4 linked regions of the Arabidopsis thaliana genome follow. The protein of the gene in region 4 interacts with the protein of the main gene of each other region in a pairwise test. Each region holds a gene or a part of one and is shown on either strand. Other genes may lie near its edges. The genes, in order: AT1G25510, AT2G41190, NPC3 and PIN4.

The links.
Region 1: the proteins of PIN4 (region 4) and AT1G25510 interact in a protein complementation assay, tested with the Arabidopsis thaliana proteins (one large-scale study listed by BioGRID).
Region 2: the proteins of PIN4 (region 4) and AT2G41190 interact in a protein complementation assay, tested with the Arabidopsis thaliana proteins (one large-scale study listed by BioGRID).
Region 3: the proteins of PIN4 (region 4) and NPC3 interact in a protein complementation assay, tested with the Arabidopsis thaliana proteins (one large-scale study listed by BioGRID).

What each region holds. Positions count from the first base shown.
Region 1 is NC_003070.9:8,957,127-8,964,305, reverse strand, and holds AT1G25510 (Eukaryotic aspartyl protease family protein), read left to right. Parts: upstream 1-3,122; 5' UTR 3,123-3,482; coding exon 3,483-4,934; 3' UTR 4,935-5,219; downstream 5,220-7,179. Other genes in the region: AT1G25520 (Uncharacterized protein family (UPF0016)), read right to left, coding at 133-204, 294-366, 466-527, 598-642, 720-788, 872-919, 1,002-1,038, 1,118-1,209 and 4 more; AT1G25500 (Plasma-membrane choline transporter family protein), read left to right, coding at 6,513-6,578, 6,984-7,179.
Region 2 is NC_003071.7:17,164,854-17,172,938, forward strand, and holds AT2G41190 (Transmembrane amino acid transporter family protein), read right to left. Parts: upstream 5,707-8,085; 5' UTR 5,293-5,706; coding exon 5,078-5,292; intron 4,974-5,077; coding exon 4,723-4,973; intron 4,655-4,722; coding exon 4,440-4,654; intron 4,338-4,439; coding exon 4,314-4,337; intron 4,213-4,313; coding exon 4,032-4,212; intron 3,939-4,031; coding exon 3,719-3,938; intron 3,627-3,718; coding exon 3,491-3,626; intron 3,391-3,490; coding exon 3,225-3,390; coding exon of another isoform or gene 3,121-3,224; coding exon 3,077-3,120; intron 2,979-3,076; coding exon 2,916-2,978; intron 2,804-2,915; coding exon 2,708-2,803; 3' UTR 2,426-2,707; downstream 1-2,425. Other genes in the region: SIB2 (VQ motif-containing protein), read left to right, coding at 389-814; AT2G41200 (uncharacterized protein), read left to right, coding at 6,804-6,825, 6,931-7,069, 7,343-7,415, 7,825-8,076.
Region 3 is NC_003074.8:836,281-844,059, forward strand, and holds NPC3 (non-specific phospholipase C3), read right to left. Parts: upstream 4,366-7,779; 5' UTR 4,232-4,365; coding exon 3,980-4,231; intron 3,821-3,979; coding exon 3,429-3,820; intron 2,808-3,428; coding exon 2,398-2,807; intron 2,285-2,397; coding exon 2,114-2,284; coding exon of another isoform or gene 2,079-2,113; exon of another isoform or gene 2,039-2,078; coding exon 1,692-2,038; 3' UTR 1,525-1,691; downstream 1-1,524. Other genes in the region: AT3G03510 (Phototropic-responsive NPH3 family protein), read left to right, coding at 60-1,427; NPC4 (non-specific phospholipase C4), read right to left, coding at 6,406-6,797, 6,883-7,053, 7,166-7,575. UniProt on the Arabidopsis thaliana protein: Possesses specific phosphatase activity toward lysophosphatidic acid (LPA) in vitro. Does not show phospholipase C activity. May play a role in signal transduction and storage lipid synthesis.
Region 4 is NC_003071.7:178,071-186,589, forward strand, and holds PIN4 (Auxin efflux carrier family protein), read right to left. Parts: upstream 5,695-8,519; 5' UTR 5,130-5,694; coding exon 3,935-5,129; intron 3,778-3,934; coding exon 3,510-3,777; intron 3,371-3,509; coding exon 3,285-3,370; coding exon of another isoform or gene 3,274-3,284; exon of another isoform or gene 2,908-3,273; coding exon 2,750-2,907; intron 2,656-2,749; coding exon 2,579-2,655; intron 2,475-2,578; coding exon 2,408-2,474; 3' UTR 1,963-2,407; downstream 1-1,962. UniProt on the Arabidopsis thaliana protein: Acts as a component of the auxin efflux carrier. Plays a role in generating a sink for auxin into columella cells. Maintains the endogenous auxin gradient, which is essential for correct root patterning.

The sequences.
Region 1 (7,179 bases), on a different chromosome or scaffold from region 4:
TTCATCAGTCTCCCTACAAACCTGCACTTTTTTTAACAAAAACTATAGCGTAAGACAGAAGACTGTGGTGGAAAAGAAATTGATGAACATCAGAAATAGATTAAGATTTAGAAACATTACCATAAGAAAGCATTAAGCCTCAACAGAAGTAAGATACGATTGGATGCCAAAAATGATGAAAAGCATTCCACCAGAAAGAGCCACCTGCAACAACAACATTACACGACCCAAGTTTTAGCTTTTGATGAGTCGTTTAATCTCAAATGTAGAAAGGGATAATGAGAGATATTTACTATTCTTTCGGAAATTTGAGACGCTAAGCTCTTTCCTCCAATTACAGCAGCAGTGGTGCACAAAAACTGTGCCCTGTATAGGCATACTATTTAGTCAGTAACGTCGCTTCAAACATATTACTTTTGTGATGCAGACACAAAATGATTGTAGCAGTTTTGCAGTGAAACTTACACAACTCCACCAAGGACCACCCCAAATGGATTTTCATCTGCAGCTAAACCAATTGTAGCAAGCTAGACAAGAGAGTTATGGTGAGTATGTGAAGCATTTAAGATTGAATCAATTCGAGTAAGTAAAAGTTACCTGACTCTTGTCACCCCATTCTCCAAAGAAATTAATCGAAAAAGCCTGCAAGTAGAGAGGGGAAATATGAAGTTAGTTCAGAAAAGTCTACTGCTTTTGTGAGCAAATTCTGTTTTAGTTACCTTGAGAAAAATTGGAGAGAAAAATTGCGTGAGGAACGCCCTATTCTGCTTTTTGTTTTCATCTTCTCTCTACAAGGACAACAAATGATTTGAAAACTTAGCACAGGCAATTTCCACTTGCAGTCTCTGATCTTGTCGTTTTGGTTCAATACCTTACTACTGTCTTTTGGAGATTTACCATTAGCCTTCAAATCAGCATCCTATAATTAAAACACAAGAACGTCAAGCCACAAAAGCATTTATCTAAACGTGAGAGCGAACATGCAGAAAGAAGAAACAAACCAGTTCTGCTTCGACTTCAGCCAATTCTTCCGAACCCCTGCCAACAAAGTCAGATAATCTGAATATCTTGGATTAAATCATCCTTATGACAACAAAATATGATGAAGAAGTATTACCCTCCTCCTTCTTTGAAACCGTCCCACAAAGACCATAGCCCAAAACCAAAGAACAACAATGTTGTTATGTGATGAGTCCATTTGCGAGAGATCTGAAGGTGAGGGTTTGAATCAGTATTTACTATTTAGTAAGAAAAAAAGGCTTATGTAGAAATACAAAATAAGTTGAAGCCATACCAGATTAGGAGCAGCCCATCCAAGAGTAGCAGAGAGGATAGTCATAACCTAAGAATTAAACAAAGACATAAGCTTCAAAATCTATGGAGAGAGGTCACTGAAACCAATAGGTCAAAGCATTCAGAAAAACTTACAATCAGAGCCGATAAACAACCAGCCAACACAAGTCTCCTAGGATAACGCATAGCCAAAATCTGATATGACAAAAAAAAAAAAGAGTTTAAGCTTGCAAAATCAAGATAACAACAGAAGTATCTTACACACCTTCAAAGAGCCTGTGGCAGATTCTAAACTACCAAAACACTATGAAACTGAATGGCAATATAAAAGCTACAGACAAAGGATCCAAAGATGCCATCTAGATTCTTAATCAGGAAAAGGCAATCCAATAAGTAAGACTTTAGACTTCGATTCATGTAAAAGCCATTGACTTCATCGACCTTAAACCCTCAATAGATTACATGAAGCAACAAAATCTAAAACTAAAGCGAAGAGGAGACGAAACACTTACTGCTGCAGCGAAAAACGTCTTGTCACCAATCTCCGATACAAAGGTCATAGCAAGTGACTTCGTAAAACCCTATAAAACCCCAACAATCATAAACCCAGATTAGCTCCACAACGATTCTTACGAGTTTACTCCCCAGAAAACATTAATCTTTTACTCTACCTGCAAAACCGAGCTCATGGCTGCCGAATTATAAAATCGACGGCGAATTAGCTACGAAGGAGAAGAAAAAAACGAAACTTTCGATTTTTCTCCGGCTGTGTTACAAAGAAGACGGAGTGATCAATCGCCGGAGTTAATTAACAGTCGTCGAGAGAGAGCAAATAGACGAGACGAACATTCGCTGAAGAGCTAAAAGATGAATCCTTTTTTTTTGGGGATTGTAGGTGAATTTGATTCTGATTCTTTAACCCTTAAGATCTTACCACGTGGATTGATAACAACCAACGATTTTAATGTGTGGGACCCAGAAAACCCAACTTGAGTTTAGAAGATGTTAATTTGTTCCCTTGTGTTGTTGTTTGCGACTTGCGTCACTTGCTCGAGCAAAACAATAAAGACTTTTACTTCTTTGATAACTAACTTGTCGCGATCACGATTGAGACGTAACGTTTAGAATAGTATAACACGTAAGTTTTTGAGAGATGCTCAAAACTGATTGGGTATTTTAGTATTTTTCGCTTATCTCAACTAAATTTTATTTCGTTTTATCCTACTATTTTATACAAATAAAAAAAAATTGACCGATTTCTGATTGGTGGCGAATTGATTCGCAAACGTATGTAATTATATTTGATTTGATCCAACTGTACTTATATTAATATTAATTTATTTAATTCTAAAATTGATGAATAACTAAAATCAGGTGGCAATATTCTATCTATCTCAACTGCATATCATGTTAAGCTGAGATTAGAAGTGTATTTTAGAATTTATAGTTTAGATTTAGGCAGCAAGGTTAATGAGTTAATGTAGTAGACTTGGGGTATGAAATGGCCCAAACATCCAAGTTAAAAGCCTAGATAAGAGTTACCCACAGGCCCATGAGGGACCATAAATTCACCATTTTTAAGTCAGCAAATTCCTCCACATTGTTAATACCTTAACATGATATGCATATGTATGTTTTTTTGTTGTTGTCAGATTGCGTATGTATGTATTGGTTTACAGTTATAGCTTTCTTTTTAGGTTAATTGTTTAGTATCATATAGCTTTATAGACATAGGTCTGGATAAAATGAAATAAGTGAGCTGTTATAATTTGAATGAAAGTCATCATTAACAAAGCTAAGCTCATAGCCAAATAAAATTTGTCAAAGTGCGAAGATGTGAAACACTCAAAAGTGGCTGACTTAATAAAATCTAAAACAACAATCTCCACACTAACCGCATTGAGATCATAAAACAAGTTTATTTAAATCCTCACACTTAAAGAGGATGAAGAAACCTCCTCTTCCTCTTTAACCATTTATCTAATCTTTGGATTAATTCTTCAAGAAGAGATACTTACTTATATAAATCTCCTCGAAATCTGCAAACCCCCAAAACACAGCTTGTCTTTGTTTTAATTAAAAGAAGCTTTTGTCTCATTTTCCCTTCCCCACCAAACACACTTTTGTCTTCTCTTTAATAAACCTCATTCACTTCATCTTCTTCACTGTTAACGGTCGGAATCTAAAAAATGTCTCCTAACTACTCCTTCTTCTTCTTCATCTTCTTCCTCACTTCACACTCTTCTGTTTTCTCCAGAATCTTACCAGAGACCTCCACAACCACTACCTCAATTCTCAATGTCGCTGACTCCATCCACAGAACCAAGTATACGTCGTCGTTTCGGTTAAACCAGCAAGAAGAACAGACTCACTCTGCTTCTTCTTCTTTCAGCTTGCAGCTTCATTCACGAGTTTCCGTCCGAGGAACTGAACACTCAGACTATAAGTCACTCACACTAGCCAGACTCAACCGTGACACAGCCCGAGTCAAATCTCTCATAACCCGTTTAGATCTAGCCATCAACAACATATCCAAAGCAGATCTCAAACCCATCAGCACAATGTACACCACTGAGGAACAAGATATCGAAGCTCCTTTAATCTCCGGCACGACTCAAGGAAGTGGCGAGTACTTCACACGCGTCGGTATCGGAAAACCGGCGCGTGAAGTTTATATGGTTCTAGATACTGGAAGTGACGTGAACTGGCTACAATGTACTCCTTGCGCTGACTGTTACCACCAAACCGAACCAATCTTCGAGCCATCGTCGTCTTCTTCTTACGAGCCTCTCTCTTGTGACACTCCACAGTGCAATGCCCTTGAAGTCTCAGAATGTAGAAACGCCACGTGTCTTTACGAGGTTTCTTACGGTGATGGTTCTTACACCGTTGGAGATTTCGCCACCGAGACTCTCACAATCGGCTCAACTCTAGTTCAAAACGTCGCCGTTGGTTGTGGACACAGCAACGAAGGGTTGTTCGTCGGCGCCGCCGGTTTACTTGGACTCGGCGGTGGTTTGTTAGCTCTTCCGTCGCAGCTCAACACGACGTCGTTCTCGTACTGTCTCGTTGACCGTGACTCAGACTCGGCTTCGACCGTGGATTTCGGGACTTCTCTTTCTCCTGACGCCGTCGTGGCTCCGTTGCTACGTAACCACCAGCTCGACACGTTTTACTACCTAGGCCTCACCGGAATAAGCGTCGGCGGCGAGTTGCTTCAGATTCCTCAGTCTTCTTTCGAGATGGACGAGTCAGGCAGCGGTGGGATCATCATCGACTCAGGAACCGCCGTGACTCGTCTCCAGACCGAAATCTATAACTCGCTTAGAGACTCGTTCGTGAAAGGAACGTTGGACTTGGAAAAAGCAGCCGGGGTGGCGATGTTTGACACGTGTTATAACCTTTCGGCTAAGACGACGGTAGAAGTCCCGACCGTGGCTTTTCATTTCCCCGGCGGGAAGATGTTGGCTTTGCCGGCGAAGAACTACATGATTCCGGTTGACTCGGTGGGGACATTTTGTTTGGCATTTGCACCGACGGCGAGTTCACTAGCGATTATCGGAAACGTGCAGCAACAAGGGACACGTGTCACTTTCGATTTGGCAAATTCTCTCATTGGATTCTCGTCTAATAAATGCTAAGCTGTTTTCATCAAAAAAAACAAAAATGCTAAGCTGTTTTTTCTATAAATATATTTGAGTTACAATGAAAAGGAAAAGTCACTTAAAAGATAGTAATGTTAAGTTAGAGTACTGTACTACTGTTTGGTTGTGTTTGTTTCTTGTACTTGTTGTTGCAATGCATAGAGTGAAAAAGAGTAAAAAAAAGATGGAATTTGTTTTTGCTAATTTTATGATTAAAGAGTAGAACAATGAATCTTGAGGGGCCTTGTTACAGGTCACATCACACACGAATGAATGACTCCTTCTTTTCTATGACGCATGAATACTCGTAGTGTTGAGAGTTAAAGCCCAAATACAATGTGTGATCGAAGAAGTTAAGCCCAAATACAATATGTGATGTGATACAAAATAACAAAATCTTTGTAAACCAAGAAACGAATGATTGAAAATACAATCTCTTATATGAGTTATGATCATGAAAGTGTAATCCCTAGTACTAACTGATATGAAACAAAGAAAAAAGTGATATGTTTATGGAAGATGAATTTACACAAAACTAAATTAACTCTGGTGATATTCTATTGGATATGTTTAATGAACTCTAATCATTCTATGTAAACAGTATTTTTTAAAAGAGTAACATGGCACAGAGATTTATATTATCAAAAGAGAAAGAAAAAAACATGGCACAAAGAGAGGTGGCGAAGTCATGGTGCCACTACTTGCCATCACAACATATGAAGTGGCAGCTATGGGTTCAATCATTTTGTCCTTAAAAAAAAGCTTTATTTTCCTTTCTCCTTTTTATATGTCAACCTTTTACTTTCTCCTTTGTTCATCCAAAAACATTCTCTTACTTTTACAGTTTCATGCTAGACATAAAACTTATGCCATAAGAGCAAAAAACCTGGATAAAATTCAATGTTTTTGTTAATATTTTCACAATTAAAATAGTGGTATATTTGTTGACAGAAAAAACAAAGAGTCGTAGATTCAATAGATGATTTTGACCGGTTCTTTTAAATATCTGAATAATGAGGTATACAATTCATACGTACATTAAACAACGTCCAAGCAAAAAAAAGAAGAAGAATACATAATTATATAATACAATTTATATCAAACATTTACCACACTTCCCTTGTAGGTGAATTTATAAAAACTTTGACATAAAGTTTGAGAAAACTATATGCAATTTTTCTGTTATATGCATTAAAGGTCCATTTCCAAATAACAAACAGAAATAAAGCAACGAACCAAAAAAGAAAAGAAATAATTTTGTGATAGGAAAATTAAAAAGAAAAAAACGTGAATAGTTACGGAGGGAGAAAGTGTGATCTGAAAACGACCACTGCTTATCCAATAAAAAGGAAGAAGACGAAGAAGAAGAAGAACCGCTCTGACAAAACTTCTTTGCCTCACTCTCTTCTCTCATCGTTTTTCATATTTCTTCTTTGATTCACGTTTCTTTTCTTTTCCTCTCATTGACTATTCTCCCTCACTTCTCTCTCTCTCAACTCTTGTGATATTTATTCAAAGATGCTTCCATGAAATTTGGTTTTGGTCAGTGAGTGAATCTTCTCTTCTTACTCCATCATGAGTGACTCCACTAACAGCGTCTCTCCTTCCTCTGATTACGCCTCCATCTCCTCCGGCGACCAGGTTCTCCACCCTTACTCAATTTCGATCTGGGCACGAATCTCTTTCTCTTATAATTTCTGTACAAGCGAAGTTGTTATGAGAATCCCTTTCTGGGTTTTGCTTTTTAGAACATAAAGTCATTTCCTTTACGAGTGTGATCTTGATGAACTCATATCTGGATTTGTTCCTTACATGTTAAGAGCGATTGGTTACTTTGGCTTTGTAACTTTAATCACGGGTCAGTCGCAAAGTTTTTTCTTTTTGATAGAAAATGTGTCTTGTGTGAGTTTGATCACTTTATGTATTTGCATTGTACTGATATGAAGTTTCAGAGTCGTTGCTTATGTTAAAGCATAGCTTTTTGTAGGTCTCAGACTCGTCCATGATGTAATTTGAATGAATCAATGTTTTCATTTTGATTTGCAGAGTCTTCAGCGGAGTCGAAGGAGTGGAGATGGAAACCGAGCCGTTGTGCGTGAGTCCCGCCATTGGCATGATGTATTCTGGTCAGCCATCTTTGTGATCCACTTGATTTGTTTGGGATTTGTGCTCGCGGTGCTTGGACTCAATAGGTTTAGAATATCAGATAGGTTAAACATCGATAGGTACACTCAAGGGTTCT
Region 2 (8,085 bases), about 17 Mb from region 4:
AAAACTCCACATTGTGTCCGACCGTATATATATATTTTTGGTCCAACAGAATGTTCAATCAAAAAGAGTAACAAATCACACTTGTCATCTAAGTAAAAGATGTCATGGAGACACGATGAACTTAAACGCGCGTGGGCTAAACGCGCCGTCGGCTATCAGCGGATGAGGACTTTTTTCAATGCCATTAATTTTTTTGTTTGTTTCTTCTCTCTTCCCTTAATTCTCAGTAACTTCTTCTCCTTTCTCATTAACTTCCACTCTCCTTCCTAAAAGTAAAAACGATACATAAAAAAAAGTGTTCATTGTATATATATTTAAAAATTGGACTAAAACAAGAGAGAGCTCACACATCTAAATTTTTCTCCATATTACAAAAGAACTAAAGAAGATGGATCAGTCATCATCAACGTTGCTCATAAACCAGAGAAAGTCATCATCGTCTCCGACTAGGATCCCACCTAAGCAGAAGAGGAAGTCAACGACTACGCACAAACCCATCAAAGTCCGTTACATATCAAATCCGATGAGAGTCGAGACTTGTCCTTCTAAGTTCAGAGAGCTTGTTCAAGAACTCACCGGTCAAGACGCCGCTGATCTACCACCGTCGCCCACCACTTTTACCGCCGTAGATCTCCACCGTCCGTGTGAGTCGGAGATGAACTTAGAGCCGTTGGATGGAGAGGTCCGTGGAGAGTATTATTCACCGTTGGATGAGGAAGTGTTTAATGCTCCTCAGATGTCGGCAGGTCTTTCTGGTTTTTTCTCGTCTGGATTTTACAATGTTAACGCTTTAGGAAGCATTGGTTCTCTCTGAATTTTAAACTATGAATGTTTTGTTTCGGCACTGAAACACCGATCACGAAGAATAAACCATCTATAGTTTTAGGGTTTTCATCAAAACCTATATATGGATATATTACATATATAGTTTTTTTTCTCGCGAATTATTTACGTTTGTGAGTATATATAGAAATCTTTCATTTGTTTGTGGTTTTTTTATTTTATAATAATAATCAAACCGTATTAGTTTTAGTTGGGTTTATTGGTGTAGTTATGTAATAATTAACCTCAAAATCCCAATTTGGTGGTAGTGATTTTGTGATCAGTTTAATCTCTGGTGTAAATGATCACAAACGGAAAAGAAATAATAATCCATATAGAGCTTTTAAGTTATCACGGACTTTAGTTGAACATTTGGATAGATGTATGATGTATCCCTTTTGTTTTTTAGGATGACCCCATCTCTGTATAATAGACGCAATAATACATTTATATTTTGGAAATTTGGAATGAATGATAGAAGAGTTTTGTTATTTTCTTATCATTTATTAATCACATTATTTTATATTTACAATCTACAAACACACTATCTTATGGAAATATTCGTTTGATACAAACAACATTTAATGAAAACAACAACTTATTTCGTACGAAATGTTTATCGTATAGTTGACTATTGTGATATCTTAAATTGTAGAAATATTCAACGCTTCACAATTTTTAAATTCCTCTAGAATTGTGATTTGTGAGCTATGGTTCGATGTAAAGAGAAGAAGAAAAAAAACCTGAACGATTTATGAGATAGCCATTTTCAATTCAAAAATATTTTGTTCTAAACACATGAGTTAGCATTCGCTTGGAACAATCTTATCTTCTGAGGTTTGTTTGACTAAAAAGATGACTAATGTTTTGACGCTTGTTTCGCACGGCCAATAGACCGACTCCTTTCAATTTCAATTGTCAGCAAGAACTGACACATTAATATATAATTTATTTTCTATATGTTTACTTTCTGTTTGTGATCTCTATGTTTACTTGTCACCATCTATCATATTATTACTGGTTAAGAAAACTAATTTATTATCGACTTAATGTACCTTATAGTCAATAAAGGTATATGAACCAACCAATTCCATATACATAGAGAAAACTAATATGATTTTTCTTCCTTAAGTTTCGCTGTAAATTTTTGTCAATGGTTAAGAAAAAAAAAGTAAAAAAACAATTGTATATAAGAATGTTTTTAGGGAGCATTAAAACACTTTAGCAGGACCGACAAACCTCAAGTCTCGTAATTTTCCTTCCACCTTGTTAAGTCGGTGATGACGAGACGGGAGATATTTGGGTCACTAAATGGCCGATACTAATTAATACAATATCGTTCAACAGAATTATGTCAATCTTAACCTTGTAAAAACTGTTTTTTTTTCCTCTAACTTCTTTCCCGTTGGGTTTGCCTATATTTTCGATAAATTGAGTAAATTTCACTGTTAACTAGTCGTCTATTTTCCTCCTGTGTTAAATAGTTGTGACCCGATAATCAAATTGTGACACTCAAAAAAGCAGATTTTTGAACATCATGAGAACCAAATTTTAAATTTTTTGTTTTACATATCTATCTTTTGAGGTTAACACCTCCTTGTTTATTTGTGTTGTTAATACTTATTATTAATGCCTTTATCAAATAGGCGAGCTCATTATACCCAAATCTAAACATGAGAAAGATGCTCAGAAAAATGAAGAGATAGTAGATACACAAAAATACAAAAGCAAATGTGACACCTATGAGAAAGTAAACCTTTCACTAGTTTTATTAACTTTCAAGTCCAAAATAATCTTTCATAATCAAGAGTTTATTAGCTTCAACAAAAACATTCAACTCAAAGTACAGGGGATAAACTATGGGTCTCTTTGTCATGGAGTTCCTTCACTGATAGTTCCTAATGATCTTTGCCACCGAAGAATATGTCCCCAAGGTCCCGCTTACCACCCCGATGGCCACAATGATCGAACTCAGAATCATCTGTAGTACACAACTCAGTGTTAATCTTAAGAATCCAAATACAGAAACTCATCATCCCATAATAATTTCAAGAAATTGATAACAGGACAACAACAAGGCTCAATTTATATACCTGTGTTCTTGTTGCTTTGTTCCCCATTATCTTTATGAAGCATAAAGCTGGCATTATTATTGCCTGAACCATACATACATTTATGTAAAACTGTTTTGAGTGTCACATTTTTTGAAAACAATAATGTTCTTAAGATATTAAAGAGGATGATGGAAACTAACCACTAGTATACTGAGAAGAGATCCTATAAGAGCCATCATAAGACCTGTGTGGAAAATAAAACCAATTGCAAAAAAAGACCATTAAGGAGCAAATCTAGTAAAACGACACACGAGTGAGTTCTCAACCTTTCTAGCTTAATGTTCTTACCAAAAAATGGAATAAGGAAAGCAGAACAAACAGAAGAAGCGACGAGTGCTGTTCTTAGAAGAAGAAAGCACCATATGTTCTCTGACATTCTTTCCGGTAATAGTTCTTCTATACTCCTTGCAAGTGGATTCATCAGGAGAGCGTATTTTGTAAACGGACTCACAACCTGAGAAAAGGAGAAAACAGAACCAAGATGAAGTTTTAGTGTAAAATGGAACTTCCAAAGATTATGGAGAGAAAAATAAAAACTGGTTTTGTTTTCTAACCGTTGTCCACTGTGCCACTTTTGAGAAAAATTGGTCCTGTGGCATGTTTAGTGTAATCTGAGACAAGGTAGCTTCTCCAAACATGAGATAACCCATGATTGCAACTCCTCCGTATAACAAAACACATATAATGAAACTGCAATGTAGCAACAAAACAAAAATTGTTGGTTTCAGAATTGGATTATTAAACATCAAAAGCTAATATAAGAGTAAAGTTTTTGGTTTTACCAAGTGATCACTGCTTTGTTGAATTTGGTTTTATCAGCCATGGATTGGTATATATTTGGGAACACTGAATGTCCTGAATAGCAAAACCCGTATATACCAATTGCAAACGGTATCCCGTTCCATTTCACAGCCTGCCCGGTGTGATGAAACCCAATCCCGCCCGTTGTACCGAGGAAAAACACGCTTACTGCTATCAAAGCGGTTGCGATAACTCCACCGGCTATAGAACCAAAGAAAAACAAGTGAACTGATTCAATATTCTTGACGAAAGAATTCAATCATATGAAGAAAACAAAAATGCAGTTGATTGTACCTGAGAGGTAGGAAATGATGCGTAGATCTTTCAACCAAACAGTTGGAAGAACAATGAGAGCAGTTAAGATTCCAAATAAATGCTTAGAGTCAAGTCGGAACCCGAGCAAATCCAAGGATGTACCAGGGAAAAGCCCGGTAAGGTTATCTCCTTCCAAAATGATGAATTCAACACAATATGACTACAGAAAGTGGACAGCGAATCTAGTAAGTTTAAATTATAGAGACAGAAACAAGCTCTAGATCCATGAGTAAAATTCGGCTACAAAAAATCTTCACTTACATATAGTTCTGTGTACAATAGCATCTGCACAAAAGACACATAACATTGCAGAAACCATAAGCAACTGAAAACAGAACAACTGATCAAAATAATCAAAAGGAAGATAAAATCTATGGAACCACTTACACAGATAAGAATACGACCATATTTGCCAAAAGCTGCTTCTCCAATATCAGGATAAGTGATAATGCCGGTCTTGTTCTCGAAACAGTCTTTCATTAAAGTAGCAGTGTAACAACAAATAACAGCAAATAAGAGAAGAATTACCATACTTGCCCAACCAGCTTCTTTCACTGTATAAGGTGTTGAGAGAAGTCCAACTCCAGCCATTACATTAATAGCTGCAACCAATATAGAGTTACACATGTTTTCTTAATTAGGCCAAGAATCATAATCAGTTTTTAGTTACCATTGAAAATGGTTTGAATGACGCTGCATCCATAGCCACCAATGGGCAATTCCTCAGCAAATGAGCCTTTATGAGACCAAGCAGATTGTGTAGCTGAGGCTTTGTCTGAATCATCATGCCTCTCAGGAAGCAAAGGTGCTTTTGACTCAACATCTAAATTACTTCTGCTGGCTCTATAGAAACTCGGAGGATTACTCCTGAGCGACCCGAAGATTGGTGATGCCGCAATCGTATAAGAATCAGTCGTTTCCCTAAAAGAACCACAAAACTTGTCAATGTTTCATCACAAAATCTCAAATAACAAAACTTTATGAGATGGGTTACAAGGAAAGTTTCGAGCTTTACAATTAATTACCTGAAGCTTTGAGGCCATTGAACCTGGGAAATGAAAGGTTCATCGATGTCGTCGTCACGATCAACAGCATCACCAGGAAGATCTCCGAGATCGCTTTGATCAGTTTCACTGTCGTTCTCGTACTTACTGCTGTTGTCTTCTAGATCTTCGTTATCTTCGTCATCTTCGAACGTAACGTCGGTTTTTTTCTCCTTATCATTGTTCTTGTCCTCCATATTTCGAACAAACCCAAGTAAGAATAGATCTAGAGAGTATCAAGAACCTTAGAGGATTAAATCTCACCGAAAAAGGAAAAAAAAAGATCAAATCTTTATGATTGATTTTGGTTACAGAGTGGGTTCGAGAACTTTGCAGAGAGGTGGCAAAAGACTAATAAGGAAAGCTGAGTGTCTGAGCACAAAATGTCCGTTTTTTTTTAATCAAGAATTTTACTTTTTCGAGGATTTGTGTGATTTGATTGCTCTTGTTCTCCGTCTCTCTCTGTTCGCGAGAGTTGATTGCCCCTAGTTATAAGGCGGGAAAATAGTGACGTGGCGGTGATGATAGAGACTAGAGGAAAGAGATCAAAGTTGAGAAGCAATGTTTTTAGACTTTTGATCGACGACAAGTGTTGCGTTGAGATGGTTCGATATATTGATCCCTCGTAGGGATGTGTTGCCGTAGCCGGGATCACTAGGACTTGGAAAGTTATATGTTCTAGTATTCTCCAAAAATTTAAAATAAATATTCAAAACATAGAATAATTTATAAATGCCTAGAATATTAAGAAATATATAAAGTTTCAATATTATGGAAAAATCATGTTTCTTGTAAAATATATAAAACGGTTTTTAGCCTATTGACAAAAAGAATTCATAACGCTTAGTTCCAATGATATCTATTGACAAAAGGAATTCATAACCTTTCTCTCTTTATTTCTTTCACGTTTAAGATATAAATGGCGAATGATACCATGAATGTTGCTGGATTCTTAAGCTTATTCTACCTTTTTTTTTTTTCATAGGCTTAGTACTTACTTAAACTCATTTGTTGTTCTAAATCTAAGTGTCTCGCAAGAGTCCAAAGAAGGAGATGGGAGTGACTCAAGGTCGACGAGGGAATGGGGTGTAAATGTAATCGTGTTAGTGAACATAGAAATACATTATCTCTATGTGGTGACATGTGAATTTTCTCCAAGTGTCAAACTTCCATATGCTCATTAACAATCCAATAATTTAAGCTTTTTGACAAAATTGTATTTTTTTTGGTCAATTATCTCCAATGTGGTTTTAAACAAAGATATATATTAAATAAAGATTTACATGCCTTTTCCACCTTGATATTTTGCAAATCATGAGAATCTCTTCCTTTTAATGTTGCCAGTTATATAGGTTAAAAACATATTTGCATTTCAAAAGGAATATTAAAAAAACTTAATTGTTCTGCTACATTTTGGCTTTCAAAAGTCATATTGTGAGTCTAAAACTATTAAACTGTAAACAAAGGAAAATAAAATAGTATTTATATGCTATATGTAAAATATGAAATGAATAGACTCACACTTTTTCTCTAGATCCTTAAGTTAAACTGTCACGCTTCCGGTACGTGGCTTATCGATCAGGAAATGCCAAGATACTGATCCCACCTCACAAGTCACAAGTCACGGTCTCCAAAATTTATTTCTCAATATTATCCTTCAAATTTGTTACGATATGCAAAAAAACAAGAAGAAGGAAGTTATCACAATATGGGTCAAGCTCTCAATACCGGTTCGTCCTTTCTCTTTCTCCCCCAAAATCACGTCTTTCATTGATGTTCACTTCATTAATAAAATTATCATTTTTTTGTTTGGTATACTTAATTATGGAACGAAGCAAAAGGTAAAGGAGAGGTAGACGCGAAAGACTTGGAAGCTATGGCTGAAAATTGCTACCGCAAACGCTTAGAAGAAAAAAATGACGATCAAGAATGGTCCTTTGGCGACTTCTACCGCATTGTGGCTGAAGCAGTCGAGTAAAATTCTTTTACTTGTTAAGTGTTATAATGAAACCAATATGAGTCGGAAAGGATTAGATTTGGTTATTAAACCATTTTCAATAACGATTTTCTTTCGAGTTTTTGAGACAAATTATTTAATGCTCATGGGCGGTTTATAAGTCAATGATTTAAGAAATAAAAATAAACGATAAAGACTCGAGCCATATAGTCGGCACCATGATATTATGATTATGGTAATGATATTTACATGTGATGTGATATTCGTATTTTATGTATTTGGTGCGACAGGGAAATTAACAGAAGACTCGGTGGCACTCAACTTAAGGTGCCAAGTGTTGAGAAACTACAACAAGCTTATGAGGTATTAAATTCTTTCAATTTCTATTCTTCATTATATAAGTTTAATGACACTTCTTTTGATTTGATAAAATTAGGTAAGGAATTTGTAAACATTTGGTCTCTTAACCTTTTCTAAATTTAATAACACGAAAAGAATATTAAAAATGAAATATATACTTGAGCAAAACATAATTTATACCTAGCGATTAGCGAATATGATAAGTATTGTTATGCAACGATAAACATTAAAAAATAACTTCAACGCTTTTGCCCAAATCTAAGTCTCTGTTACATAGAGAGGCTTAGACTTGGTTTACTATAAACCAAAATAAGATTTTACAATTGAATCACAATGTTTTAACCAATTGGTTTAATTACTGGGATCAAAGATTTATCATCTTCTTCGTCTCTTATACTTTTGAAACGAGCAGATACACAATCTCGGGCAGGGGAAGAAGCTATCGAAGGACGAGTTTCAGAAGCTTCTTCAAGAGGTTTTAATCGGAGTTGGGTTCACCGGCGTCGGAGGAGTAAAGGAATTTCTACTTTTCATCTTCGGAGTTCCTGCGATCGCCGTCTTCATTAAGAACCGTATAGCTCCGACGTCCGTTCCCAACGACTTGTTTATCCCCGCCATCACTTCCGCCACCGTCTTCCTCCTCGCCAAGCTCAATAAGATATGAAGTCTCTAC
Region 3 (7,779 bases), on a different chromosome or scaffold from region 4:
AAGTGACGACATTACTCGAGAGTAACAAGCTCCATGAACTGCGTTGGATCATCAGAGACATGGACATCAACCCAAGTATCTTCCACCTCGTGACTAGATTCTGTTATGGATACAAAATCGAATTATCAGCTGACAATATCGTCTCTGTGTTATGCATTGCTTATTACCTAGAGATGAGCGATGATCATAGCTCTAACAACTTGTTGAACAAGGCAGTTACGTTCTTGGAACAACGAGTTCTTATGAGCTGGAGTGAGACCGTGAAAGCTCTTTGTATCTGCAGCGATAAGATTTTGGACAAACTAGCTAATGTTGGACTCATCGAAGTTTTCTTAGATTCTCTTATCGAAAAGGCTCTCAACGATACTAGGTTGCTCCAAGATTTGATTACATTACCACTTCGGTTATATGAACCATTGATTCTAGAAGTGAGTAAGCACAATGTCTCGTTAGAAAACCTTGTGGCCTCTGTCTGCAATTACGCGAATAGATGGGTTTTCGAGAAAGATTCGGGAGACGGAAGCGTTTCAAGAAACAAGAGAGAAGGAATTGAAGCTGTTGAGAGGCTTTTGCCTCACCAAAGAGGAACAATCTCGTCTGGATTTCTGTTCAAATCGCTGAAAGAATCGATTTTTCTTGGTGCTTGCTCTGATTGCCGAAAAGGGTTTGAAGTTAGGATAAGTAACCAGCTTGACATGGCTAGAGCAAAAGATCTCCAGATTCTGTCACCAACAGAAGATGGATCTTATGACATCGAGCTCTTGAAAACCATTCTCAAGAGCTTCTATAGTAACGATAGTGTCCCGGATCTTTCGCGGTTTGTGAGTGTAGCGAGAATGTTGGAAGAGTTTCTGTTGGAGGCTGCTGCGAGTGATGCTGGTTTAAGGGTAGGAACATTCAAGGAACTAGCAGAAATTGCAGTTGCTGCGTCTTGTGATGTGCTGAGTTACTCTGATGGAATATACAGAGCGATTGATGTTTACTTGGAGAGGCATAGAGACTTGATTGAATCGGAGAAGATGGAAGCTTGTAGGTTTCTTCATTGTAAGAAACTTTCACCCGAGGCTTGTGAACATGCTTCAAAGAACGAGAAGCTTCCATTGAGGATTGTTATGCAAGTTTTGTTTGTTTCTCAGATGCAGATTCGGGATAAGGTGGCTAGAGAAATGAAAGGTGTAGTGGAGAGAACAGAAAATCAAGTAGATGAAGTGGAGAGTATGAGTAAGAAGTTGTTAAAGCTCGAGATAGAACCTGATTACATGAAGAAAAGAAAGATTGAGAATCTTGAATGTGTTGTTCATTGCGAGAAGAAGAAGACAAGTGTGTGGAGAGAAGTAAAGAGGAAGTTTGGTTGTATGACTTCTTCTACCATGGATGCTTGCAGTTGTCATATCAAGAAGAGGAAGACTTATCATAGCTACAAATAACAAAGGATCACTCTTTTGTTTTGTTAGAATTTGCTTTTTGTTCAATTTAAATTCCTCTGTTCTGTTCTGTTTTTGCTCTGTTTTGTTGAACCCTTCGTTAAAATACTCTGTTTTTCGCGGAGGTACCTCTCCTAATGAACCTCATTCGGAAATGTAAAACATAAAATTTGGAAAACAAACAAATATCAAATTTCAAACGCTCTTCACATAAAATCCGAGAAATACACCAAATCTCACAGAGATCAAATCTGTTTCAACTCAAGATCAATTATCACAAATCAAACACGAGAATAACTTCTGAACAAAAGACTTAGGAGTCGAGTGACGAGTAGATCCTTTAGAAAGATCAACGATCTCATGCTCATCACGGCCTTCTTCTTTAGCCTTCTTGGACTCACCATGGAATCTAGTGAAAGCTTCTTCTACGTACCTAGCCGCATCCAAAACCTTCATTTTATCTGCGAGCTTAAACGGGTAAATGTCTTTGATATGATCTCCTTTTAGTACAGCCGCTGCTTGAATCAGTTCGATTTGAAAATCAGTGAGATCTTCGTCTTCTTCTTGTGTTCCAATGTCTATGTCTCTTGCCCTAGGAAGTTCCGGTAATGTGACTGTGTAATAATCCAAAAACTCATTAAACATATATTGCGTTTAATATGGACTATATAACCAACTATATATTTTACCGGGGCAGTCCGTCCTTGGGCTGGTCCGGTTGATGACAGCATCGAGTGTTCCAGCCCATTCGTCACGCTTTGTAAGAAAGCTCTTGAGGTTGAATATTTTCTTCAGTGTTGCCGGAATTGATGAATGTTCGAACTGCGACGTTGGCTCTGGTCCATTTGGCTCGTGTAACACTAAAAAATAATGTCATCACCAGTAAATTATTATAACCGGTTTTGACCAACATGACAATACCACACTAAAGTCTAAACTAACACAACTCGGTTCCAATTCAAAACATACGTACCCGTTCCAGGTTCGATCCAAGGCGAGATTAGCAAAGCAGGAACCCTAACACCAAGCCGGTCAAACTTAAAGTTATAGGGCTCAGGTCCAACTAGACCATCAGGATTTGGGACACCAATGACTGGAGTAGGGACGTGGTCATAATAACCACCATGTTCATCATAAACAACAACGAAGAGAATCTCGTTCCACTGAGGACTAGCTCTTAAGGCTTCGTAGATTTCTTTGACTAGATTTTGGCCTTCAACGACGTCGTTTTTGGGATGGTCATCATTAGCTGGAGCCGACAAAATCTTGAAGTACCTTGGTTCTATAACCACATAGTTTGGAAGCTTCCCTTCTTTGCAATGCCTCTTGAAGCTTAAGTGGTATTGATGGAAGTTGTCCACGTACTTCAGTTTCCTCATGTTCCTAATTTAAATATGAGTCTTAGCGATTAAGTTATTACATTTTACACTAATCACTTTTAATGAGTATTAAAAAAGTATTAACTAAACGTAAATTTTTTCCGTGGACAGTTGGACACATGCAAAAACCTAATCGAATCTCTCTCTGTCATCCGAAAGGTTAAAAATCAAATATCAAGATTAGTAATCCCGTTAATAAACCAAAATATTTCTAGAAATCATTTTCTTCTTCTTTTTTCTTATAATTCAAAAATATTCCAAGCAACTACTCCACTTTCTTATAAACAACAAATAGAAAGATTTCAGGCATGTGGCAAATACCTAGGACATGCTCATTACAGGAAGCTTTTTCAACAATAAAATAAAATAAAACTCAATCATGGAGAATTTAAATTCATTTTCTTTATGTTTCAATTAAGTAGACATTGCAATCCAGGTGTCATCACCTTCTTTTTTTTTAAGATGTCACTACAATTCATCGGTTCATCATTATCTACCATATGTTTTTTCTTAAAACATATATTCGTATTCGATTTTTTCCTACACTAAAATCATAATTCGTAACTTTGAATTTTACTTTTCTAATTATATGAAATTTAAAACAAAAAGAAATACCAATTATTACCTGTAAAAGAGGCAATTAGGAAAGGATTGGTAATAAATTCCAAATGTGAAACCGCTCTCTTCAAGTGATTCGAACACTGTCCTCTGAGGAAAGCCACGAACAAGCGTGTTAGTGTCATTACTAAACGCACCGTTTGATGTCGCCGCGTGGACGTAGAGTCGGTTAGGCTGCGTGGACGAGGGCAACGACGAGAACCACCGATCGCAGACAGCGAATTCTTGAACTAGTTCCTTGAATACCGGAAGTTTCTCCGGCGGAAAACCTTGCATCACTACTTTCTCCGACATCCCTTTTGTTATCGCCTCTGCGTTTTGTACGAACCCGTTCATCTTCGGATCCGGGTACGGACTCTCGTCGCTGAATGGTTTTCCAAACACTTGTTCGTAGATCGCCTGAAATTCAATGATCGTCGATAAACCACTCTATCAATTTCCCGGTTTAGATCCCGAACCGAATTATTTAAGAAGATATTTATGGTTCAGTAGACCGGTTAAGAAGTGTATATTTCTATACAAAATTAACGATGATTTGGAACTAAACCGGAGTTGTACCTGAAAAGAGTGACCGGGATCAGGATCAATGTTCTGAGATTCTTTGCCGAAGAAGATTTGAGCAGAGTTCGGGTCAGATGTAGAAAGTGGGTTGGATCTTGGTTCGGATTCGGATACTCCATCGATTTCTGGGTTAAGCTCCTTGAACCAACCTAACATGTGATCGAACGACCTGTTCTCCTGAACCAAAACGACGATGGTTTTGATCGGAGAAGCCGATGAGCCACCACCAGAGCTCGTTTCCTCCACCATACTTCTTTTACTTTTTTAGAACAGAAATTTTGACTTGTGTAGTTGTTTTCCCTCTCTGTCTATCTCTCATAATTAGCTGTGTCCGTCTAAATGGTAGCCTTATTATATACTGGTAACTAAACGATGTGTATTTAATTTATTTTATATGATTAGTAAATCACATAAATGGTATAGTCTTAAACTTTTACATGTATATGATTGTTTGCAAAACTCTTGGGCCCGGGAGTGTATTCAATCTTCTATTTTGAATGATTTAAGTTATTTTAAATTTTTATATAATTTTGAAGAATTTGGGTGAATTTAAGGAAGTTGTTATGATTTATTATAAAATTTTCTCAAAATTTACCTAAAATCATGAGACTTAAAATTCTGTATTTTTTAATTAAGGAAATTCACTAAAATTCATTTAAGTCTCTTAAAATTATTAAATCTAATTTTTAAAATATTTTTAATAAAAAAAAATTAATGTAGATTTTAAAATCACAAATTTAATAACATTAGATTTCATAAAACTTTTAAAAATCTATAATTAATAACATTAGATCTATTATTTTAACACAAAAACACTTAAATATTTGATTGAATACACCTTGTTTCATTTTTTGTTGTCACCTTAAAAACTCTGCCTCAAGATTAAAAAACTATTTTTCTATATACTATCAATCATATACATTCGAATCAACTCAGTGATCTTTGCATATAAATAAAACATAGACGGTGAATTTTGGATATCGTCACATTTGTTTACTCTCACGTTCGGTGAGGTGGCAGAAGAAATTACTCATCTTTTATTTAGTGCATATGAAAAACGTTCTCCAAAATGAAAGTTTATATAGATACAAGTGCTTCTCATAACTATTTCTACGGTTCTACCATTAGTCCATTATTATAAGAAAATTAATAAGGTTATTGGCGATATACATTGAATATTATTACTTATTAATCTCTCTATCTATGAAAATAACAATGGAGTAGATTGAATTAGGTGTTGACCAATTATTATTGCTAAAACCATAGTCTATAGCACGTCTCCGCATGAGTCGTTTTAAATAGAGTTTTTCCTCAGGGAAAAAACTAACCATACATTCGTTGATTACTGTGTACTAACTAATGTTTAAATAGCGTAACTAATAATATGTGGTATTATGACAGAATGTTGCATACATACGGTGTTAGTTAGTACAGTATTTCTTATAATCATTACAATTAAAATTTGGGACCCAGTAGCTAGATTGGTTGCCTTTAGTGACTTTAATTAGTTTTTAGTCTTTTGGTATAATCTACTCACCAATCGAATAATTAAAGTAGATCTCATCTAAGATATAATTGCTTTTATACACAAGAAGATTAAATATACAACTTTTACAACAACAACAAAAAAAGACGATTAAATATACAAATAATCGTGTAAGTTCTTCTACGACAAAAATAATTTCCACATACACAGACAAATTACTACAAGTTGTTCGAATGTGATTGTGCTAGTATGACATGATCATCATCATCATCATACACGCAAAAAACGATGTCGTCCTTATCATATCCTCTTTCACTTGCTTTCTAGACTCCTCTAGAAACTTCTCAAACGCATTTGTAATGTAATAGGAAGCATCTGCAACACAAGTTTCTTAACGTAATATGGACTCTAGGAGGGGTGACAACTGCACTTTCTTCTCAACCTGAATCGTGACAGGGTTGTGATGCTACAATGAATCAGAGACTTAGAATTGATCAAAAGTCTTATGGGAGTTATGCTTGAAAATTCAAATTCAATAATTGTACATGATGAGTCGGGGTAAGAACGATAGTGGAAAGGAACACACGAAATCTTTAAATGTTTATTTCAGTCATGGTATGAAAAATTTGAATCTAATCGCATATAATTACATATGTAAATAATATCTCTCATTATTAGTTCATTTTAGTCAATTTAATATAGCTGTTGACAAGAAAAAATGAAAAACAAATAACTAGTTAGAGTAGATCTCATCTAACATATAATTTTTATACAAGAATATCAAATGTGCAAATAATTGTGGAAGTTCTTATACAACGAAATTAAATATGCAAGAGACTAGTAAGGTTTTCTTTTTTTTTGTCTTAAATAAATTCCACCCACACACAAGAGAAGTGACTACAAATTATTATTATAACATTTATTCTCTTAGTCTCTTTCAATCATGGCGAATAAAGCAAGAGAATAACTTATTGAAAAAAGACGTTTGCGTTTTTGGTTGAGCAGCAGCATTTGATGCTTCTGAATGTGATTGTGGTGGTATCACAACATGATCATCATCATCATCAACGCAATAAACGATGTCGTTCTCATCACATCCTCTATCTCTTGCCTTTCTTGACTCTTCCAGAAACTTCTCAAACGCATTTGTAACGTATTTGGATGCATCTGCAACGCAAGTTTCTTTACATAGCTTGTGGATTAATTCTTCGTTTTTGTAGTCTCCTTTTAATCCCGCAGCCATTATAACGAGATCTTCTTGAAATTCGCTTAATTGTGCATTTTCTTTTGCCATTGTCCCTCTTAGTTTAATCGGAGTTGATAATGTTTCTATTTAAAGAAAAAAAACTGAAGTTTTAGTCGATATTATCCTACCTAAATTGATAGAGAAGATGAAAGAAAAAAATGTAATTACCAGGGCAATCTTGTCTTGGTGAGTCTCTCGTAATAACAGATTCAAAAGTGCCAGCCCATGAATCTCTCTTTGACAAGAAATCTTTGAGTTTGAAAATTGTCTTGACCGTTGCGGGAATTGACGAATGCTCATATTGTGACCTTGGGTACGGCCCATTTGGCCCATGAATAACTACACATTTTACCAAAATTGTCATTTACTTTGATTTAAACATTAATATCTTGATTAGAAAATATAAGACCACTAAATTTGATTAATGCCTATGACTAGTAATTATGTTCACCTGTGCCAGGCTCAATCCAAGGAGAGATGAAGAAAGTCGGAACCCTAACACCGAGCCGGTTAAACTCAAAATTATATGGTGGAGGTCCCAAGATACCATCCGGATTAGGAACTCCGTCGACTGGAGTAGGTACATGGTCGTAAAATCCACCATGCTCGTCGTACGTTATGATAAATAAAATCTCATTCCATTGAGGACTCGATCTCAATGCCTCGTAGACCTCTTTCACGAGCTTTTGACCCTCGGAGACATCGTGAGAAGGGTGATCGTCATTGGCTGGAGTTGACAATAGATCAAACCAACGTTGTTCGACCACGACGTAGTTGGGTAGCTTTCCTTCTTTGCAATCTTTCTTGAATTGTATTCCGTATTGGTGGAAATGTGTCAAATATTTCAGCTTTCTCAAATTCCTAAAAAGTAAACTATTAATACAATTATATATATATATATATATATATATTTTGTATGATTATCCTTTTTACTATAAGATTTACTTTGTTTATATATACGACTATCTTAATGTTTTAATTAGAAGGTTTTACAATCTGCACAACGAAGGAAACTTGTTCATAAACTGAAACGAGTCTTGCAGTTTGATATATTTATTAGATATC
Region 4 (8,519 bases):
CATACATTGCCCATCACCTTTCTCTCTCAATACCCCCATTAATTCATCTTTATTGTTTTATTCGATTTATATCTTTATCGATTGTGCTTTTTGATTTTGTTTCAATCCATTAATTCAAAGCATTTCATCTCACAGATTAAAGAGTCATATTATTAGATACTACAACAAAGTAGACATACAACCCCGGAAGTATGGAAATTTGTTGATAGTTATGATTCCTATTAGTATCCACTCTAACCTCAAATATGAATTTTTGAAAATATGAAAGTTCAGAAAGTTCAGATTCGTCGATGGCACTAGCTCTAAACACTAAGAGCATCTCCAATGCTCAACTCTATTTTTTCCTCTATTTTTGAGTTGATTTTATTTTAGAGAAAATATAGTTGATTTTGCTGTATTGTATGCCTCTAAAATAGAGGAAAAATGTAGATATATTTTTCTCTATTTTAGAGAATTACAATGGAGCAAAATCAACTATATTTCCTCTAAAATAGAGTTAGTCATTGAGAATGGTCTAAGTAATTCTGAGTGAAACGTGACGTCTATGGGTAAAATATTCTTGATTTGATTAGTAAATTTATCGAAACAGTAACTAAGAGTTAACGATTTATAGTCACAATTAAATCAGTTAAAGGAATAGCCAGCTGCTACTTTCAAAGTGAATGCATGATCGAAGTTGTTCAGTTTTGAAGGAATGAAAAAAACTTTTTGGTGATATTATCGATACTATGTGGGAATATGATAAACACAATATTTTGACTGTTGATTAGTTCCACGAAAATATGATAAACTCAACATTTTGACTGTTGATTAGTTCCACGAAGATATACATGTTGATATAATCGAAAATGTGGTCCATGTTGTTATAATACTTTGATGCTCGAATTTTGATGTTCGAAACACACGTGGGAAGTTTTTCTTTTTCCATAAAAGTTTGAACTCTATAGGTTTAAAAATGTATAGTTCAAAACGAATCCTTTAGAATTTCCCAAAATAAAAGAACTCACAACTTCTATGGGCATATAGATAAGAATAAGAATATCGGGGCATGTGTGTAAACGAGTAACACAACAAGTTTTACTTGCAAAAGATATAATATGGCAACTTTTGTCGTCAAGTGAAATGCGTCGTCGCTTTCGGGCGAAGCCTGCATGTTGGTCCATCTTAGATTTTGCATTCCATTGAATTTTCTTCACATCCACTCTCCCATTAGTTTTGATGTTAGTTTCGGAATATTTGCTTTGTTTTCTATATAGTATATTGATGCCTCGTTAAATTACTACTTGTTGGATGAGTAATCATACCGTATTTGAATGACCAATCCTAATACGAAAATCAGATGATCAATTCATAACATTAAAAATGTTTGAAAAATGAGATTCACACTACTTTGACATTATAAAGACTACGTTTGATAGTCTCGGGACCATTTTTTCTATAAAGGGTGGTCTTTAGATTCATGTGCGGAAGTTCACAGAATTTGAAGTTAACATAAACTTTTTGAGATTTTTTTCTGCTAGAGATCGTGTATTCTTAAAAAAACGGGACCGTAAACATGCATCGTATGATCATAGGATTAATTAATTAGAGATTAGGATTTTGCTTCTGTCGTAAAACAGTGTTTGTTATCAAGGAATATGCTTAAATTAACTGTAATAAAATAAAATTACTGTCTTTTGAAACTTTTGCTTCTGACTGTTCAGACCTGATTTCTATCATTGACAATCAAGACGATTGACCGACATTCGCAGCGGAATTGGCATCCTATCGCTCCTTAGTTTGTTTTTTCCTTTCTTTCCGTATTAGATTTTTTTCTCGTAGTTTTAACACTCGAACTGATTGTTTAGCTAAAAAAGCTCGGGGTAGAAATAATATTTTCTCCTATGTAAGCATAATGGTTCATGAATGGCTCTCTCTAGCGGAGAATCTCTTCCCGATGAATTAATATTAATGGTATTTGTGGAAAAAATAAATCAGTACGAGGGTGTATATATATAGTATAGGACTATTTCAATCCAACTCATAAGCTAGTTTCAGTATAAACCACTTAACTAGAAACTTCAATTAATAAAAAAAGGTGCATATTACATATCTGCTTAGCCAAAATCTACACATAAATTAACAAAAACAGAAAATGAAAAAATAAAGGTAAGGAAGAGAGATTTTTTCTTCTTGGCGTCTAATGAAGACAAGATCCTTAATCCATTCAAGTCTTGTTCACTAAATCCTAAGTACTTTTGTTGTGTTCCACAAATATTGGAACCAAAAACCAAAGGCATATCTTCTTCTTCACCTTCCACTCTTTCCCACGAAAAATAAAGGCTTTGCTTATTTCCTCGTTACCGAGAAATAAATAGCCCAATCTCCGAGGCTCTCTCAAAAGCCAGTTGATACTGAAGGGACCAATTCAAAGGCCAAGAAGAATATAGTAGACCAGAGTTATAGGTAAGGCTATTAACATTCCAAATATGACCCTGCATCCATATTTTTCACCATCATTCACACATTTGTTAATATATTGTAAGTTTGTAACAAAAATAAAAATGTGGCTGTAACATAAAATAAGTTTGGAACTTACCCAGTGCTTAGAATCGTGGGATGCACATTGTACTCTTTTGCAAACACAAACGGAACTATTCCTTGAGGCAACGCAGCCTAATAATTCATGCATTCATCAACATCATCATCGTGATCATGTAATATTTATAATAGACCTAGCTATATCATGTAACGTTATAAATTTGTATACCTGAACGATGGCTATACGGAGAAGGTCGCCGTGTAAGCCAATGGCAATCCCAGCAACAGCCATGATGGCCGGACCGGTTATAAATCTGACCGCCATGGCAAACGTGGCGACAGAGTTCCCACAAGCAATGATTTTGGGTTGAAGTGCCATGAATAAACCTTAAAATTACACCAAAAATAAGCAATTCATTAACTAAAAGGATTTGAGAAAATTGACAGCAAAGAGTTAGGTCATCTACTTGGTGAGACCCAAATAAGTAGACAGAGCCAGTGGGGACTCGGCGTGGGGACCGGACACACCAACATGTCTGGGTCAGAGGGTCAGGATTCTCTCTTTGGGTAAGTGCTTTGTACAGTTTATATGACTTTTACCAATTACAAGCTGGACAACTACGACTAATTAAACACACAGACCCACTTTGCATTAAATGAATCTTTTTTAACAGATAAGATGAGAACAAATTTGAACCCAACTTTAAAGATTAGATCATCATCAAAACAAGTCTAGATTTGCATGAAGCAAGGTTAGTGTTTACCTAAGCTGAACATAGCCATTCCAAGACCAGCATCTGAGAGTATGGAGATGGATTGTTGTAATATTTTGGGCATAGCCACATGCCACCTGCTTCCAAAAACAACCCATACTCATTATTAGTTCCCACTACAATTATTCCATGCATAGATGATTATATTATTTCCTTTTCTTATTATAACATTTATCCATAAAATCTGTAAGTAAGAAAATGATTGGACTCACTGACCGGTAAGCAACAAGAGCCCATATGAGACCGATTAGACTGGAGTACGTGTTTGGGTTTCTGATCAGCTTTCTCCACACCATTATCAATATCAGTCGTGTCATCACACTTGTCGGCGGCATATGTGTTCCGTTGTTGCCGCCGCCATCTCCACCAGCCGCCTCTAGCTCCGCCGTGGAATTAGACCCCATTTTATTCAGCCCTGCTGTAGCTTTCTCTATCTCTCTTTCTCCCTCTCCACTATCAAGACCGCCGATATCATCACCACCACCTGAGAAAACCAAAAATCATGAATACATACAAAAATAATAGTATTCGAATAATAATAAAATTAAACCAACAAACCTCTAGCATATTATTTATGTAAACAATTTTCCGCAATTTTAGCTAAATAATATTTGATGACAAAAAAAAAAAAAAAAAAGAACCTCTAGCATTACTCTTTCGAGGTTGATCAGAGACAACCATCCGAATCTCCTTAGCACCTTGTTCAGATTGTTCCGTTGCCACGTTGTCGCCTGCACCTCCGCCAAACACGTCGGAGACCGGAGAAGCGCTTGAGCTCCAAACAAACATGTGAAGCTCCTTAGCGTCATGGCTCGCTTTGCTATCTTTCTCTTGCAGTTGCTGTTGGTTTTCTTTAGGAATTTTATTCGGTTTAGTTGAAACACCCGTACCGGTTGAAAACTCCGGGTTCGGAGCCGGGTACGAACCGGCCGCCGGAACAGAACTGTTAGTGTTATTGTAAAATCCATATTTAACGGCGTTGTTCTCTTCGAAGTTCGAAGGCCGTGGAGTCGGACCACGAGAAGATTGAACGGAGTACAAATCCGCCGGACCAAAATTCGAAAGCCTCCCGCCGGGAAACCCCATAACAGAGTAAAAATCAGAATGGTTAAAGTTAGAACCTCTCGGAGTCGAACTAAGACTATAGATCTCAGCTCCGGTAAGATTCGAAGGCCGTGGAGTCATCATCAGTGACCGTCTCGATGCGTTTGATTTCCTCACGGTAACATGAAGCTTCCCGTCGTTTCCTATCTCAGCATCCGTCTCAAGAAAATCATGACCGTCGAGAGAAACGACGTCGGATTCAACTTTAAACGAAACAATAGACGCACCAGTCTCCGGGAACTGCTCCATAATAAGAAGCTTAGCGCCACGGTACTCGAAGAGGAAGAGAAGGAGAGTGTACCAAATGATACACTGAAGAACAACGACTTGGACCATTAGAGAACCTGCGTAGGTTCCGTACATGGCGATCAACAGAGGGATCCCCATGACAAGAGTGTTTGGGAGAGTGCTGAGAGAGAAGATTGTGATCATCCACTCCAAGCTACCGTTCTTGGTTAGGTTAGCCCATAGAGCAAGTAAGACGAGCATGATGATTTTTTGAAGCGTGTCGGCGGCGACGAAGCGGAAATTCATGGCGTAAGGATCGTTGGTGGAGATGAAGTGGAAGGAGAGGAGAGGGACGGCGAAGATAGCGACGAAGCGGTTGATGCCGGAGCACTGGTCTGGTGAGAATATCTTCCACCACTGTACGGATCCGTAGGCGAGAATCATAGCTACGTAAAGTGGTACCACGGCGGTGAGGACGGTGTACAAGTCGTGCCACGTAATCATTTTTTCCGGTGGGTTTTGGAGTTTAGTGAGAAGACAGTGGCATTTGAGGGGGAATTAGAAGGAAGAAGAGGGGTAGAATGGGAAGAATAATAAAGAAACCGTTAAGAGAGAAAAGTACAGTAATGATTTACAAGGATTCGGTGAAGAGGACTAATTTATAGAGGTTTTTGAGGCAGTGACAGTGTCATCATCATCATCAGCACACGATTACGTTTTTTAAGTTTGATTAATAATTTGATTTAAAATGGCTTTGTGTGTAGTTGAGTGGGGACACGTGGCAAATCGCATGTGGGGGGAGTTTTCTGGAGGGACGTGGACAGTTTTATGGAATAGTCGTGCTTTTTTGCTACTATCTTATTACGAAAAAGTGGTCTTGTTTTTGCACTTTTTGAAAGTTGCAAAAGGAACTTTGGCGAATACTACGAATTACTGTATCTGTGATCGTTTTTCTTGTAAATGTAATTTGAGTTTTGATTCCAAATAGAATCAAACTATTGTCTACGTACTTGGTACAAGAAGACAGCCACATAAAAATTACAAGAAGAACAAATGTCATTAGTGTTAGGTCCAAGCCACTGTTGGACCGTTGAATTAATTACACACATTTATTCCCTTTTCAAAAATTCTCACTTGCTATGACTAGAATAATATTTTGTTTTTTGTTTTTGTTTTGTTAAACTTGTAAATATCATTAAAAATAAAATTTGAGGTATTACAAAAAAAATATTACTTATAGTTACTTATATTACAAAAAGTATTTACAAGCTCACATCTCGTCATTTTCTCACTCTTAAAATTTTACTCTCCCTTATCTCTAAAACTTCAGCCGCCGCCTGCGTTTAGGGTTACCGGTTCCGGTGGCTTTCTCAGCACCGGAACCGAAGTCTTTTGTTTTGCTCTTATTCTATCTTTTTTCTTTAGACACATCTGAGAGATTTTTTTCCAACGGTTGTGAATCTGAATTTTCAGATCTAGATATTTAAAGTCTAAAACTTTTTCTTTTTAGGTTTTTGCTGTTTGTCTTTTGTCTTTTTCAAGAACAGAGTCAGATCTGGCCGATCCATCCAAGGCAGAAGCGTTTCTATCCAAATTTTCGCCTCAGACTTCTGAAATTCCACCTGAAGATCCCGATCTCGTTCTCTCCTTCATGAGGCTCTCACTCCTTTGGGTCTCTGGATGATGGTTTTATCTCATCGCCCATTCGTGTTTAGGTTGAGTTAAGTGAGGCTTCTAGTCTCAGATCTATCAGTTTATCATTGTTGTTTTAGACTTTGTATATTTCGTTTGAACTCTTGGATTTTGGGTCTGGGAAGTACTTGATCAGATGTGATGTAATTTGTTAGATCGGTTTTTTTCCCCTTTGTTTCATTTAAATATGTTTTTAGTTCCTGGAAGGTCCCATGTACTCTCCGGCTTTTAGAAGAGTGTTTCTCTTGTCAGCTCTTGTACTCAGATCTTCTATCAATGAAATCTATATTTCCAGTGAAAAAAAAAATAGTTATAGATAGATGTTGGTCTGAGACTCTCCGACTCATTAGACCATCCTCATCGAATAATTTTTCATAGATGTATTTCATATAAAATAATATTAAAGGTATAGATGTCTTAAATGTTTTAGGAAGATATAATTTTCATTTTAATGACCCTCATATTTTTTATTTGTTTTACTCTTTTATATTTAAAAATAGCCATCTAAAAACACTCATAAAAATAACCAATGTGGATACTCTTAAATCAGTTTGGACATAACCAACAAAAAGGAAAGAATAAAGAAGTAGGTGGTCGCAAAATCACTAGGATTTGATAGATTCAAGCAGAAACTAAAAGGAGCGAGATTTCTGGGAAATATCAGAGAAGCAGACGAGGTCAAGTCCTATAAATCTGATGGAGAGTAATGTATAGAGGCATCAATTGTACACTAGAAAATCCCTAATATTACTTACTCATCTAGCTCTAAGAAGTAAGAACATCTCAGCGAAATCTTTGTAACTTTATTTCGGTATATAAAAGTCCAGTTTGATTCTTAAAATTGTGATCATGTTTGATTCGATGGAGGACTAGTTATGCGATCTTGCATCCACAATAGAGTAATATTGACCAGAAAGAAATTACAAACAAAGTTACAATAGTATGACATGGAAAAATACCAAATCCAAAGGATCATCAACGTTGGAATGTAAAAATTTTGATTTGTGTAACTCATAGTCATAGGATGTGTTCGAGGAGTGAATAATCTCCCATGCTTAATACTAGTATATATCTGGATGCGAAATTCGCAATTTTTTTATTTTTGTAGCGAAATGGTAAAAAGAGATTCAAAACATTCATCCAGCAATCACTTTAATTAATCCGAATGATTGCAAATGAAAATAGATTCTTTATTGAACACATATGTTTACAAAACAAGAATAGTATTTTTTTCTCATAAGCCTTCCGGAAAAAGTCTACTTCATCATAGAAAAATGAGAAAAATGATCAATGATCATCTATGAGATCAACGATCATAGATGGGATTTGTAACACAACAACACAATAACGGGTTTCATCAATTTTCAAGTCTACTTCATCATCCATCAAGACTTTGGTCTTTAAATATACAATGGAAGCAAATTAAAATGATCGTTCAAAAATCTTACAAACCAGGAAACATAGAAAAGTGAGAATGTGGAGATCAGTTCAATGATATTGTAACTATTGAAAAACGGTTTTTGATCGGCTTCACTATCTCCGAAGGCAACGTTCAACTTGTCTTCGAGCTCCCTGCAAGCCGTCTTGACCCGTGATCATTGATCTCAACATTTTCGATAAAATCAAACTTACATCGTAGCCGACTGAAGAAGTATGGCATCCGAATGAATTGGTAATAACAAATTATAGTTTTGTTTCTCTCCACAATATATATGTGTTATTGTAACAATGATTATTGCTTGGTAACCAAAATATATAGTCGTAAGAATATCATTCACATCTTTATCTACCAGACCTGTGATGTAGATAAACTTGCTCAAATTCAAAGGATCATGGATTAAGCACTTGAGTACTGTATATCATTTCCCGTCCAAGATCATATTATTATTATTCCGCCCGCATAAGACACTTCAATTATATGTCCAACCCAATCATGTCTGATCCATATATTTATTTTCTAGACAAATAGAGTTTGACCTAACACTACTTGATAGTTGATACGACCAATCAATAATCATGGGATATTGTTTAGGAGATTTGAGTATTTTCGGACGAGGGGGTATATTTGTTATAATTAACGACATATTTTCTAACACACACCTAATCACATGGCGAAGACTGAAGAAACGAGAGCACGAGTCACACTCACCATTAATCGTTTTTTTTGTTTGTTACATTAACTACAAATAAACTAGCATTCAA